Drosophila melanogaster: one gene and its partners. The protein of the gene in region 1 interacts with the protein of each later gene in a pairwise test. Each region holds a gene or a part of one and is shown in the gene's direction. Other genes may lie near its edges.

Region 1 (3,755 bases):
ACGACAGAAATTGGACAACAAATGAAATATATATATATATAGTATATATTGTACAAGTTACGAGTAAAATGTAATTAAAATTTATGAAGTAGTAAGCACTAAACAAAACAAATAAATGAGCAGCAAAAACGCGCAGCATAAGCATAAAACCGGATTTTACAAGAAACTGAGTAACCCTGAGTAGAATTATATTTTTTGGTTAAGGATATTATTATGATTTCGTATCTCTGGGATACCCCGAAAACTATCGCTTCGTTTTCCCATCTCCAAAAGGATAAGTCGTTTAGGTAGCGCGAATTCCGCCCGATCTGCCTGGAAACCCACCCCTAAATGACCTTCGCACTAGGTAGCATCGGACTACTGACCGTGGCAACTGCGTGAATTCATTAGTATTCCAAGTACCACGATCGAGAACAGACCGCAGATGACGTCCGCAAGCGATACAGGTAAGGAATTGGCTAAAAACGAAAAAAAAAAAAACAATACAACTGAGCCTATTAAGACGATCGTCCTTCAACTTTTTAGAACCCACTGCAGTAACGCTGCTCCAGCTGAATGACGATGTCCTGGCTTTGATCATCCGCCAGCTGGACACGTACCAGCAGTTCCAGATTAGCAGGTTGAACAGGCGCTTGGCGGGCGTAGTGCACATGCTCTGGGAGACCCGTGTTCGCAACGTTGTCCTGCAGGACGAGATGTTCGGACGCTCGGGAGCCAATTCCCGACAGTTTGTGGCTTTCATCTTGGCCCTGGCTCCGCACATGCAGCACCTGAGTTGCAAGCAGTTGGATGTCCGAAGACTGCGACTGCTCAGTAACCACACGCTGGAGAGGATTCACTCTTTCGAGTGGCTGGGCAATGTGTATAGACGGAGACGCGTTCGCTTCGTGGATGAGGATGTGCGAATGCTGCAGAGGGTATTTCCCAATCTAAAAAGCCTCAAACTTAGAGGCTGCCAAATTACCGGAAAATACCTATGCGACCTGGATGAGCTTACCGATCTCCGCCTGCATGATTGCCATTTTCTGGAATCGCAACACTTTAGGGACATCTTCCGGCAGCTGCGACTACGCAAATTTGACATAATGGAGGACTGTGACGAGGTGAACTGCTGTGATCTGGCGGATCTGCAGCTGTGTCCCACACTGGAGCATATCAAGATTGCGGATTACCACGTGTGTATGGAGTCGGATATTACGCAGCAACTACTGACATTGCCAAACCTGCGAAAGCTGTCGATCTATTCCAGGAACTTTGTCTTTGATGTCCTATCGAGGATAGTTAGTCCCACAAGTCCTCCCGGCGATGGCCGACAAATTGAGGCCTTTAGTTTCAGTGGAGTTTTGCACGACTATGGCCGGTTCTTCAGGGAGCTGGGAAATCTTAGTCACTTGACGCGACTGGAGCTGCACAGCCAGCCAGAGGAAGAGGAGGAGAAGGAGGAGGGCGTCCAGGTGCAGTGCCTGGGGGATCAGATACTGCGGCAGCTAGCCAGTCAACTGGGTGAGCTAACCGAACTCCATTTGTGTGGCTATCAGTTGGAGAGTCCTTTGGGCCTGCTGGAATTCGTGATCAATTGTCGACAGCTGAGAGTCCTCGACATCACTCGAACCTTCTGCCATGGAGAATCCTTCGTCTGGAGGTGTATTGCCATTTTGGCCAAGCAAAGCTGGCGCATTCGCCCTCTAGAGCTGTGGATCCGGCATAGCGATATCAATCCGGAAATAGTTCAAAGTTCGCGCTGCGTTGATAACATAAGGCTGATAAAGGTGGATGCAAAACAGATTGGACCCAATACGGACTACACATCTGGCGTACTCAAGTTTAGCTTTGTGCGGTAAACCGCTGCCCCATGAGTGGGATATGCTCCAACTGATCAAGCTCCAAAATGAAAAGGTTTTAAACTGAAATATAGTTAAGTGTATACATTTATCAACTGCTTACCAAATAAAAAGATGTAAATATACATATTTGTAAAGCGATTTTTCAATGCATCATTGTTTTTACTGCCCTTAGGGATAAAAAAAATTAAATTCAAGTTGTAGTACACTTTAAAATTCAAACACCCAAGTCCTTGCAATCAGCGTCAATCCAAATGAAATTCGAGTTCAGAGCTAAAACCTCGTCGACAAGCCAAACTTTGGATCGATGCCCACGAGGATGACCAAATGCGCCAGCCCTTCCGCCGAGCCTCCGTCTACCTCCACCTGCTGTTAATAACCGAGGCCGTGATCGGACTGCTGATCCTGGTGGTGACCGCCTACTACCACACCGTGCTCACCGGCTATCTATCGGATATTGAGTGCCGCCTGGTCTACGGCTATCTGTTTGGGATCTACGTGTTTGGCGCCCAGGTGGTGGTGACCTTTCTCTGCAGCATTGCCATGTGGCGGCGAATTTGGCGGCGTCGCTGCACGCCGAACATTCGCCTCTTGCTATCCGTGTGGGCCTTCTACTCCTGCGTAATCATTGCCTCCGGTTTCGGGTGCGTTTGGAATCTTTACCGGGGTGTCGATGTCCTCGAGAATGCGGCGGACACCTCGCTGACCCGCGGCATCGACATGTACTACTCGTGTCCCGAGTGGAAACTCCTGTGGGACGGACTGCAGTGGCACAAGGAGTGCTGCGGGGTGCATGGCTACAAGGACTGGATGAACGCGGAGTGGATGCCACGGCGGGAGAATAACTGCACGTCGATGGTCCTGGCACCCTTCGCCTGCTGCAAGCGCTCCTGCGACAGCTGCTTTAACAATTTCCTGCCCAGTGAGGGGCAGTCCATCGGTGGCAATAGCCGGCAGCCTTTTCCCGCTCTCACCGTGGACTCAATCAATGCGAACGGATGCTTGCCTGCGTTCGTTAGTGCGGTGTGGAACTGCTTTTACATCCTGATGGCGTTATGGGTCCTGGCCCTTAAGTTTCTGGTAAGTAATTGGTAATGGGCAACGTTTTAAAGTCAGAACAATGGTGAATATTGGAGCCATATTCATTAAATTCTGTCAAATTCATTAGCGTAAGTCATATTGAAATCAAAAAATTTGAATATGCAACAAAATTGTATTTTAAGATAAGACCTCCCTAAGTCAATCATCTTTTTAGATCGTGCTTTGTTGTATGACCAAGTTCATAGTTCACCGGCAGAACGAGGGCGATGGCTGCGATAATGTGGGACTCACGGACGATGATGGACATCCCTTGGTCGTGGTGGTGGGTTTATCCATTTACTATCCATCGATAGCACCTAAATCAGTCCATTCCCCAGAAATATCCGTGTAACGTGCGCTGTGTAACAATTGCCGAGGATGATCTGGTATCCGACAACGTTCCCGATATTAACTACTGCAATTGCACCGAAATGGACGACGAACCGTGTGGATACTAATATTGTGCTTAATTTTACTTTTATATTTTATATTAATTTAATTAAATTTACGAATTTGAGTTAACTTCATATCCAATCGGTGAACGCAATATATTATTTATTGGATATTATAGGATACTTATTACATGGATGTTGTAACATTGGATGTTAAATGGATTAACGGCGCATCCTCTTGGATTTCTTCAAAGTCTGACCCACCAGTTGAGCAATATGTTTGCGCAATGCCAAGAAAGGCTTCAAGCAGACGCGCTGCTCGACGAGACCCACAGCAATGCGGTGAAAGAACTCGGTGACATCCACGGGCTTGGCCAGCAGCTGACCTTGTGATACCGAGCCGTTTTCCTCTGAGGCCTCGGGCGTAGGGCTACGTGCCATT
Region 2 (3,755 bases), 4.5 Mb from region 1:
ATACCAAACAAACCAATATTGAGATACTACAATTTTTACCTACAGAAAACACAAATCAAGCTTAGTTTATACAACAATGACATTTTTATATCGACGACAAGTATGCGACAAGTACGCGCGGGGAGTTTTTAGTGATTTTAGTTCTTGCATTTAAGTAATAATCTTAATAGAAGCTGTGCTTGCCAAATTTCTACATGTATTTATTGTAAAGATATAAAAGCAAACATGACAAAATATTCCATTTTATATAGACAAACTAAATAAAAGTGTTCAATATCAAAACATAATCTAAAACAATAATTATGATTAAGATAAATCTTCGTAGCTATACTCTAATAATGTAGTCTTTGTGCCGCCGTGTGGTGCAGCATAGTGTAACGTCCTTCACTTGGCGTTGGCGGTGGAGGCGGCGGCGGTGCCAACATGTGAGCCATTGCAGCCATTCCCATTTGTGTGGCGGGATTCGGTGGGCCGAGATGATGCAGTGCATCGTGATGGTAGTGATGCGACATAGGTGGTGCAGGAGGCAACGGCAAATTCAGTAGATTATTATTCGCCGCATGCGTGCGAAAATGTAGACTTAGGCTGTCCGCCGTATCAAATGCCTTGTCGCAATCCGGACACTTGAAGTGGGCGTGATCGAGGGTGTCCAGACCCACGGGATCCGTGTCTATAGCCTCATCATCATCATCATCCACTATATCATGGTTTGTACTGGACTCCAGAGGATGAAGCTTCAATTTATGAGTCCGCATATCTCTTCGCCTGCTGAAAGCCTTGCCGCAGACATCGCAGTGATGGTTTTTGATGCCCGTATGGGTTATCATGTGCTTGGAGAGATCACCGGCGGTGTAGAAACCTTTCTGACATAGCGAGCATACCTGATCCCGCACTCCTAAATGAATCTTCTGGTGCGCCTGGAAATTGCCTAACGCGGAAAACTGCTTTGAGCAGATCTCACACTGAAAAGGCTTGTCGCCCGTGTGCGTTCTTTCGTGGACTTTAAGATTGTACTTTTGGGCGAATCTCTGGATACAAAAGCTGCATTGGTAGGGTTTCTCGCCAGTATGTGTTCTTATATGCTGTGTTAATTGGGCAATGCATTTGAAGCTTTTGTGGCACTCGTAGCAGGTGTGGGGCATCTTTGGCACAGGTTTGGGCCCCCGTTTTTTGTGCTCTTCTGGCGGCTTTCTTTGATAGCGCGACCGCCTCTTGCTCACTTTGGCATCCACGGGTTCCTCTTCATCGCTATCGCGCTGCGGAAGCAACGGCTTCTCCACAAAGTCCGTATTGGTGGCCGCATCCTGGCGCCAGGATTCCAGAATGCCCAGATATTGTCGCAGTCGGAGATCACTGTTTTCGCATTCCTGCTTGAAGTGGAAGGCCACCCCCAGCCGGTAAATACAGTTGTTGCAGATCACCGAAGGTAGGCCATCGGTTTTAAAAACCTAAAACAATTTCCATATGCCAATTAACATTGAAATATTTTGTTTTTAGAACCCACTCTTATTTTAGCGCATTGCATCAACATTACGGAGGGCATCATAGCAAAGTCTGTACTATATATCGAAGTTACAGGATGTAGTTCCTCCAGGCAAACTCTGCATATTTTGTGGATATTATAGTCCATGTTTTATTTCAATTTTATAGAAATCAACAAAAAAATTATTGAAAATTTTGCTCTAAACTCCTATCAGCTGATTGGGACCAGGGCTGCAACGGTACAGTCGTAACTCTAGCTTGTGAAACAAATCTATCATATATGATTAAATTTGTTTCGCGTGTTTAAAATGAATTTCATACTCAATGTGGATTCATTTCCGCAAATATGCAAAAGATATAGTAATATTTTGGTGAGCTACTTCAACTACTAATTACGTTGATAAGTGTTGATAACAATGATTACATAAATATTTAAAACCCACCTTTGTTTTACGAATTATATAAAAAATGCACATACATGTACCGCTAAATATTTATTGCATATTATCTGAATTATTTTCATTTATGAAATTTGGGTAAAAACTGTAGGAATAGGCAGGGCTGCACATGCGATACGGCGTTGCCACCTTCAACGAAAAAGTGTAACCTTTTTTCGTTTTTGCGCTGACGTGACGTGACAGTTGATTTGTTTGATTAAAATAACTAAGAGTAAAATCGCAGCCAAATCGATTTGCGCCACTAACCCGGAATCGATAGCCGGAAGCAAAGACGCAGCCGGAAAAGGAGAGGCATATAAGAAGAACGATCCTCGCACCGGTCGAGGAAAAGAGAGAGAGAGAGAGGGGCAGCGAGAGAGAGAGAGCGTGAGAAACTGGGAGCTGCACGGGTGAAATTTCGTGGTTTCGGGACCCCGACCACCTGAGCTCTCCACCCCCCGCTGATAATATACATATCCCCGCATATATTCCCCACTTTCAAGATGCTGTGTATACAATATTAGCGATTATCGAGACCAGGCAGCGCATGTGCCGGCATCCAAAAAGGCACAAATTGAATACTTTAACTATTGTAAACAAATTCTGGAGAGGAGGTGACCAAGGTCAAACAATCCGACGAATACGAATACCTGGCGGCTAGTCTCGTTTCACTCCACCGCAAAGTGCCAGTTAACCAGTGCCGCTTGCCATGGCCACAAGCAGCCAGCTGTTGCCCAATGGCAACTTGTCCAGGAATGGCAAGACCAAGACAGAGGACGGTGAGGAGGTGGAAGCCGTTGTTGGAGCTCGTGCAGCAGGTGCAGATGCCGGAGTAGCACTAACGGGACGACTAACAGGACACCCATCCACATCCGGAACGTTTATGAAACTGAAAACCTATCTCCTAGCTCTGCGTCCCTGGTCGCTGTCCGCCAGTCTGGTTCCAACGCTGCTCGGCTCAGCCCTGGCCTACCGCTCCCAGTGGGCGGAGGAGTTTTCGCTGGCCACCTTCTTTCTCACCGCCTTCACCGTGGTCACCGTCCACTGCGCCGGCAACGTAGTTAACACCTATTTCGACTTCATCAAGGGCATTGACAAGCAGAAAGCCGACGACCGCACGCTGGTGGATCACATACTCACCAAGGATGAGGTGAGCAATCGAACGGATGGATCAATCAAGCCAATAGAGTGCAGATCCGTCCATAGAGCATAGAGCCTACTCTTATCCTTCGGAAAGTAAAACTTCAAAAAAGTAAAATTCAAACATTTTTCGATTTTTCTGACGTGTTCACCAAAATTCCACATTTGCAAATACAGTATTCCGAAAAATCAAATTATATGCAAAGAAACTCGCGAGCACTTCTAAATCTTTAATGGCAAAACGTGATATTTAAATTCAAATTTGTCAGTGGCGAAGCAAAGATTCTCAAATTTTCTTTTTAAATTAACAAAAACAATTTTAAACACCTAAAATATTTGAAAATGCATTCAGTGTATGTGTGTACATTTCAGATGAACAGAAATTAAATTAGTTTTATATACGTTCAGAAAAAAACGTGCCGAAATCATAAACCATTTTGGAAGCGAAAACAATATCAAGAATTGGTAGCAATTAGCAAGGTACTAATTCAAATCAAGGGCAAATATATTAGAGAGTATTCAAACAATAATACTTTTAAATTTATAATTTTATCGAATTTCTATAGGACAATTTTTTCCGTTTTATAATGGAATTTAATTGGAATATGCATAAATTAATTATGACAGCATGACAGCAGATTTAATCCTTATCCGCAATTATAAATAATAAATATTTGTTAATTTGCAGGTGGTATC
Region 3 (3,755 bases), on another chromosome or scaffold:
CGAGGGGTGGCGTTCCATCTTGATAATGGCTTATGGCTGCATGTTTTGTTAGGAGAGACTCACCTGTGAAGGGTCGCTCGGTGCCCGCCTCCTGGGTAACCTGATACTGCACCGGGGTCAGGCGCTTGCGCAGCTCCTCCTTGTTCACCGTAACCTTCTCGCTCTTGTTATCCATAGTCGCTGCTGGTCCGGAATACCTTTTGTCCGGATTGTCGCTGTCTTGGCGTGAATCTGGAATGCAATACAATACTTTGGTATTTGATTTGCGGTCGGGTCGGTTTGAGTGTGCTTTTCGGTTCGCCAGCAGTTGGGTAATGGAAACTGAGTAGGGGATTTCGTCAAGCTTCTGTAAGATTTCCCTCATAATCTGCCCACTTATCGGTGGGACTTTCAACGAAACCTTGGGCAATCTCAACTCGCTTATTTGAATGCGGCCATCTGACGATAAGAAGCTTACTACTATCAGCCATGAGTTGCTGAAAATACTTTCTCGAAACTCATAATCATCTTGTTTTCTCATACAAACGATACCATACCATTTATGAAAATGAATTATATGAAGAAAATTTTTGGCATTTTTGGAACCCAATTTGATAAGGAAATATATACATAAATATTCTTATTCCAATATTAAACAAAAGCTATATATAGCGTACAAAATATAGAAAATACTTATCATTTTCTTAAACAATTTGTTAACAATCTTGAAAACTCAAAATCAAAGTTGTGCATCCAGGGAATTAGTAACACCAATTTTGTATACAAACTTGCCTGCTAATTAATGAAGGTGTAAACAGATTTGTTAAGTGCGGCCAACAAATGGAGTGGAGAAACGCATTGGGCCAAAAATAGTTTTATGGCTTTTTATGCTGCTTGCCCGCCGTCAATCAAACGGAGTGGCGCCCAAAGCAAACGAAGGCGAAGGAAAAGCCGAAAAAAAAACCGAAAATCGAATAGCGTAGGTGGAGCAGTCACCTTTTATTTTCGGTTTTTCCGAGTGCAACAATAGAAAAGCCAGCCAAGTGTGTCGCGGGCAATTGAAGACAATGAATTCATTGCGAGCAAAGTCAGAAAATAGCGGCTAAATTGCGTTCATATAGAATGCAAATGTATAAAAAAATCAACTCAAATTGTGTCTAAAATTAGCCGATGGCCAATCGATGAGCATGGGCTGACACGCCCACAGGTATTACAAACTATACCTGCGACTTTTTAGTGCAACTCACCTGCGAAAAAGCGTGGAATGGCGAATATTCGAGTGCGCCGCAGTGCGTGGCGAGCAGAAAGTGCAAACATTATGTGGCTAATTTCAGGTGACAACTGCACTTGGCACTGCCTGGTTATTTAATCAGCACAGCAACAGGGGGAAAATGAGCAGAGCAAGGAGGAAAAGTCAATGTTTTGTCCACTGCGCACTGCCCACGCGTACTAACTAATATTTATGCAATTCGCGTTGCCACTTCCGTCTACCACATTTCCCACATTTTCCGTTCTATTTTCGTGCGCTTTTCTGCTTTTGAACGCTTGGCGAGGAGAAAGCGCAGTGCAGAGAAAGTCGCAACTCAATTAGGGAAAATGCGCTCGCAATTGTGCTTCAATGTCACCAGCGGAGAACCGAAAAGAAAAAACACTTAATTTTCCCACACTTAAATGGTGCGTCCTTGGGTTTTCTCTAAGCTGGAAAACTACTCACCTGCTGAATAGCGCTCTAAATGGTGCTGATTCTATTTTTGGCCTTTTGTTTATGAATGCGCCAAACGCGGGCGAAAACAAGCGTGCGTCGCAATGTTACGCAGCGGTGGAAAATTAAAAACTAATACAAAAAAAGCTGCTTGGGAAAACAGCTGCACGCGATGAAAATCAAACACCTGGCTGGCTCGCGTTGCCAATCGAATGCTGGATGATAGGCAACAAAGGCAGTACGGTCACGCGAACAGCTGACTGGCCGCGCTGCCAACTGCTGCCTAATTGGACAGCACGTCTGGCAACGCCGGGCACTTTGTTATTTTTAGTGGCTCCATAAATTTGCTTATCAGTCATAAAATTTAAGCTAGTGCGTTAATTCATCATATTCGCTGCGGGGAAACACCAGAGTTAGACAGTCCACCACTGACGCACTGCGAAACTATAGCAAAACAGCCGTGCAGGCCGCTGAAGAGACCACACGCAAAGAGGGCGTCAACAAAAAGAAAAAACCGTGGGGGAGGAAACCTGGGCAAAAATACCAGGAAAAGTAATACTCATCGAAATACTCGGCTGAAAACACGACTTGCACATTCGCGTGGCCATGAGCAATCACAGATACCATCAGGGGGGCAACTACATGCACCCGCGGATCTCCACCTATCCGCACCACTTCAGCTACGTTTCCTCTTGCGTCAAGTACATGATCTTCCTGCTAAACTTCCTCTTCTGGCTCTTCGGCGGCCTGCTCCTGGCCATCGGCGTGTACGCCTTCATGGACAAACTGATGGACGGCAATGGCTGGCTGCGCTTGGACACCATCTACGATGTGATCTTCAACATCTCCCTGGTGATGATCATCGCCGGAGTCATCGTCTTCACGGTCAGCTTCGCCGGCTGTTTGGGTGCGCTGCGCGAGAACACCTGGCTGCTAAAGCTGTACTCCATGTGCCTGCTTCTCTTCTTCATACTGGAGATGTCGCTGGCCATCATCTGCTTCGTTTTCCCGCAGTACATGAACTCGTTCCTCGAGTACCAGTTCACGGACAAAATCATCCACTCGTACCGTGACGACTCCGACTTGCAAAACTTCATCGACTTTGCCCAGCAGGAGTTTAACTGCTGCGGCCTGAGCAACGCCGGCTACCAGGATTGGAGTGAGTATTTGATTCATAAGCCACAAACGAATTAATTCCATGTCCGTATGCATACAGGCAAGAACGAGTACTTCAACTGCTCATCGCCGTCGGTGGAGAGATGTGGAGTGCCCTACAGCTGCTGTATTAATGCCACCGATATCAGCTCCGGCCTAGTGAACATCATGTGTGGCTATGGCGTGCAGGTGCGTTCAGTGGCCGCCGCCAGCAAGCGCATCTGGACCAGCGGCTGCATCGAGATCGTGCGAGTATGGGTCGAGAGGAATCTGTATGTGATTGCCGGCGTTGCCCTGGGCATAGCCTTGCTGCAGTTGTTCGTCATCTATTTGGCCAAGACCCTGGAGGGACAGATCGACCTGCAGAAGTCGCGCTGGTCGTGAGTGCAATGCCACCATCCGTATCTCTACGGATATCCGCCATGCGAAGACGACCCGTATTACAATTCGCGGATGTGAGGCGGACTTTTTTGGTCCTGCCCGTGCTCAAATAATTTCAAACCGAATCCCACTCCTAGAATAATCCATAGCTCCCTATATACCATCTCTTGTGTTTTCGATAGATTTAAGTTCTAATGTCCCGCGATAATAGTATTTCAATAGTATTCTCATACTCTCCTAGGCTTAGGAAAAAGTATTTATACTCCTTTGTGTTCGTTTGCTCTGTATGTTTTTTAAACGTCAGCGCATTCTTAGTCACAAGTAAAGTCGAACACATCTAAAGTTTTACTCTTATACGTATGCAATATCAGACTATTTAAAAGACACTTGTGTATAAGCTAGCGAGTTCCATAAGAAATATGCATTTAAAATGAGATTTATATGTAACGACGAAACCAAAACTGCATGCATGTTTGTTAAATTGAAAAACATACTAGATACATAGACTTATTATCATTTTTAAGTATCTGTACGCGTG

Evidence for each region.
Region 2: the proteins of Tsp33B (region 1) and heix interact in a two-hybrid assay, tested with the Drosophila melanogaster proteins (one large-scale study listed by BioGRID).
Region 3: the proteins of Tsp33B (region 1) and Tsp86D interact in a two-hybrid assay, tested with the Drosophila melanogaster proteins (one large-scale study listed by BioGRID).

What each region holds. Positions count from the first base shown.
Region 1 is NT_033779.5:11,790,717-11,794,471, reverse strand, and holds Tsp33B (tetraspanin 33B), read left to right. Parts: upstream 1-2,106; 5' UTR 2,107-2,168; coding exon 2,169-2,921; intron 2,922-3,096; coding exon 3,097-3,204; intron 3,205-3,259; coding exon 3,260-3,379; 3' UTR 3,380-3,447; downstream 3,448-3,755. Other genes in the region: CG14937 (uncharacterized protein), read left to right, coding at 425-446, 526-1,841; CG14932 (uncharacterized protein), read right to left, coding at 3,536-3,755.
Region 2 is NT_033779.5:16,298,186-16,301,940, reverse strand, and holds the start of heix (heixuedian), read left to right. Parts: upstream 1-2,082; 5' UTR 2,083-2,628; coding exon 2,629-3,069; intron 3,070-3,747; coding exon 3,748-3,755. Other genes in the region: CG17328 (uncharacterized protein), read right to left, coding at 333-1,448, 1,505-1,630. UniProt on the Drosophila melanogaster protein: Prenyltransferase that mediates the formation of menaquinone-4 (MK-4), a vitamin K2 isoform, thereby acting as a mitochondrial electron carrier.
Region 3 is NT_033777.3:10,866,746-10,870,500, forward strand, and holds the start of Tsp86D (tetraspanin 86D), read left to right. Parts: upstream 1-1,962; 5' UTR 1,963-2,287; coding exon 2,288-2,840; intron 2,841-2,897; coding exon 2,898-3,220; coding exon of another isoform or gene 3,221-3,295; 3' UTR 3,296-3,755. Other genes in the region: SelR (selenoprotein R), read right to left, coding at 64-231, 1,227-1,296.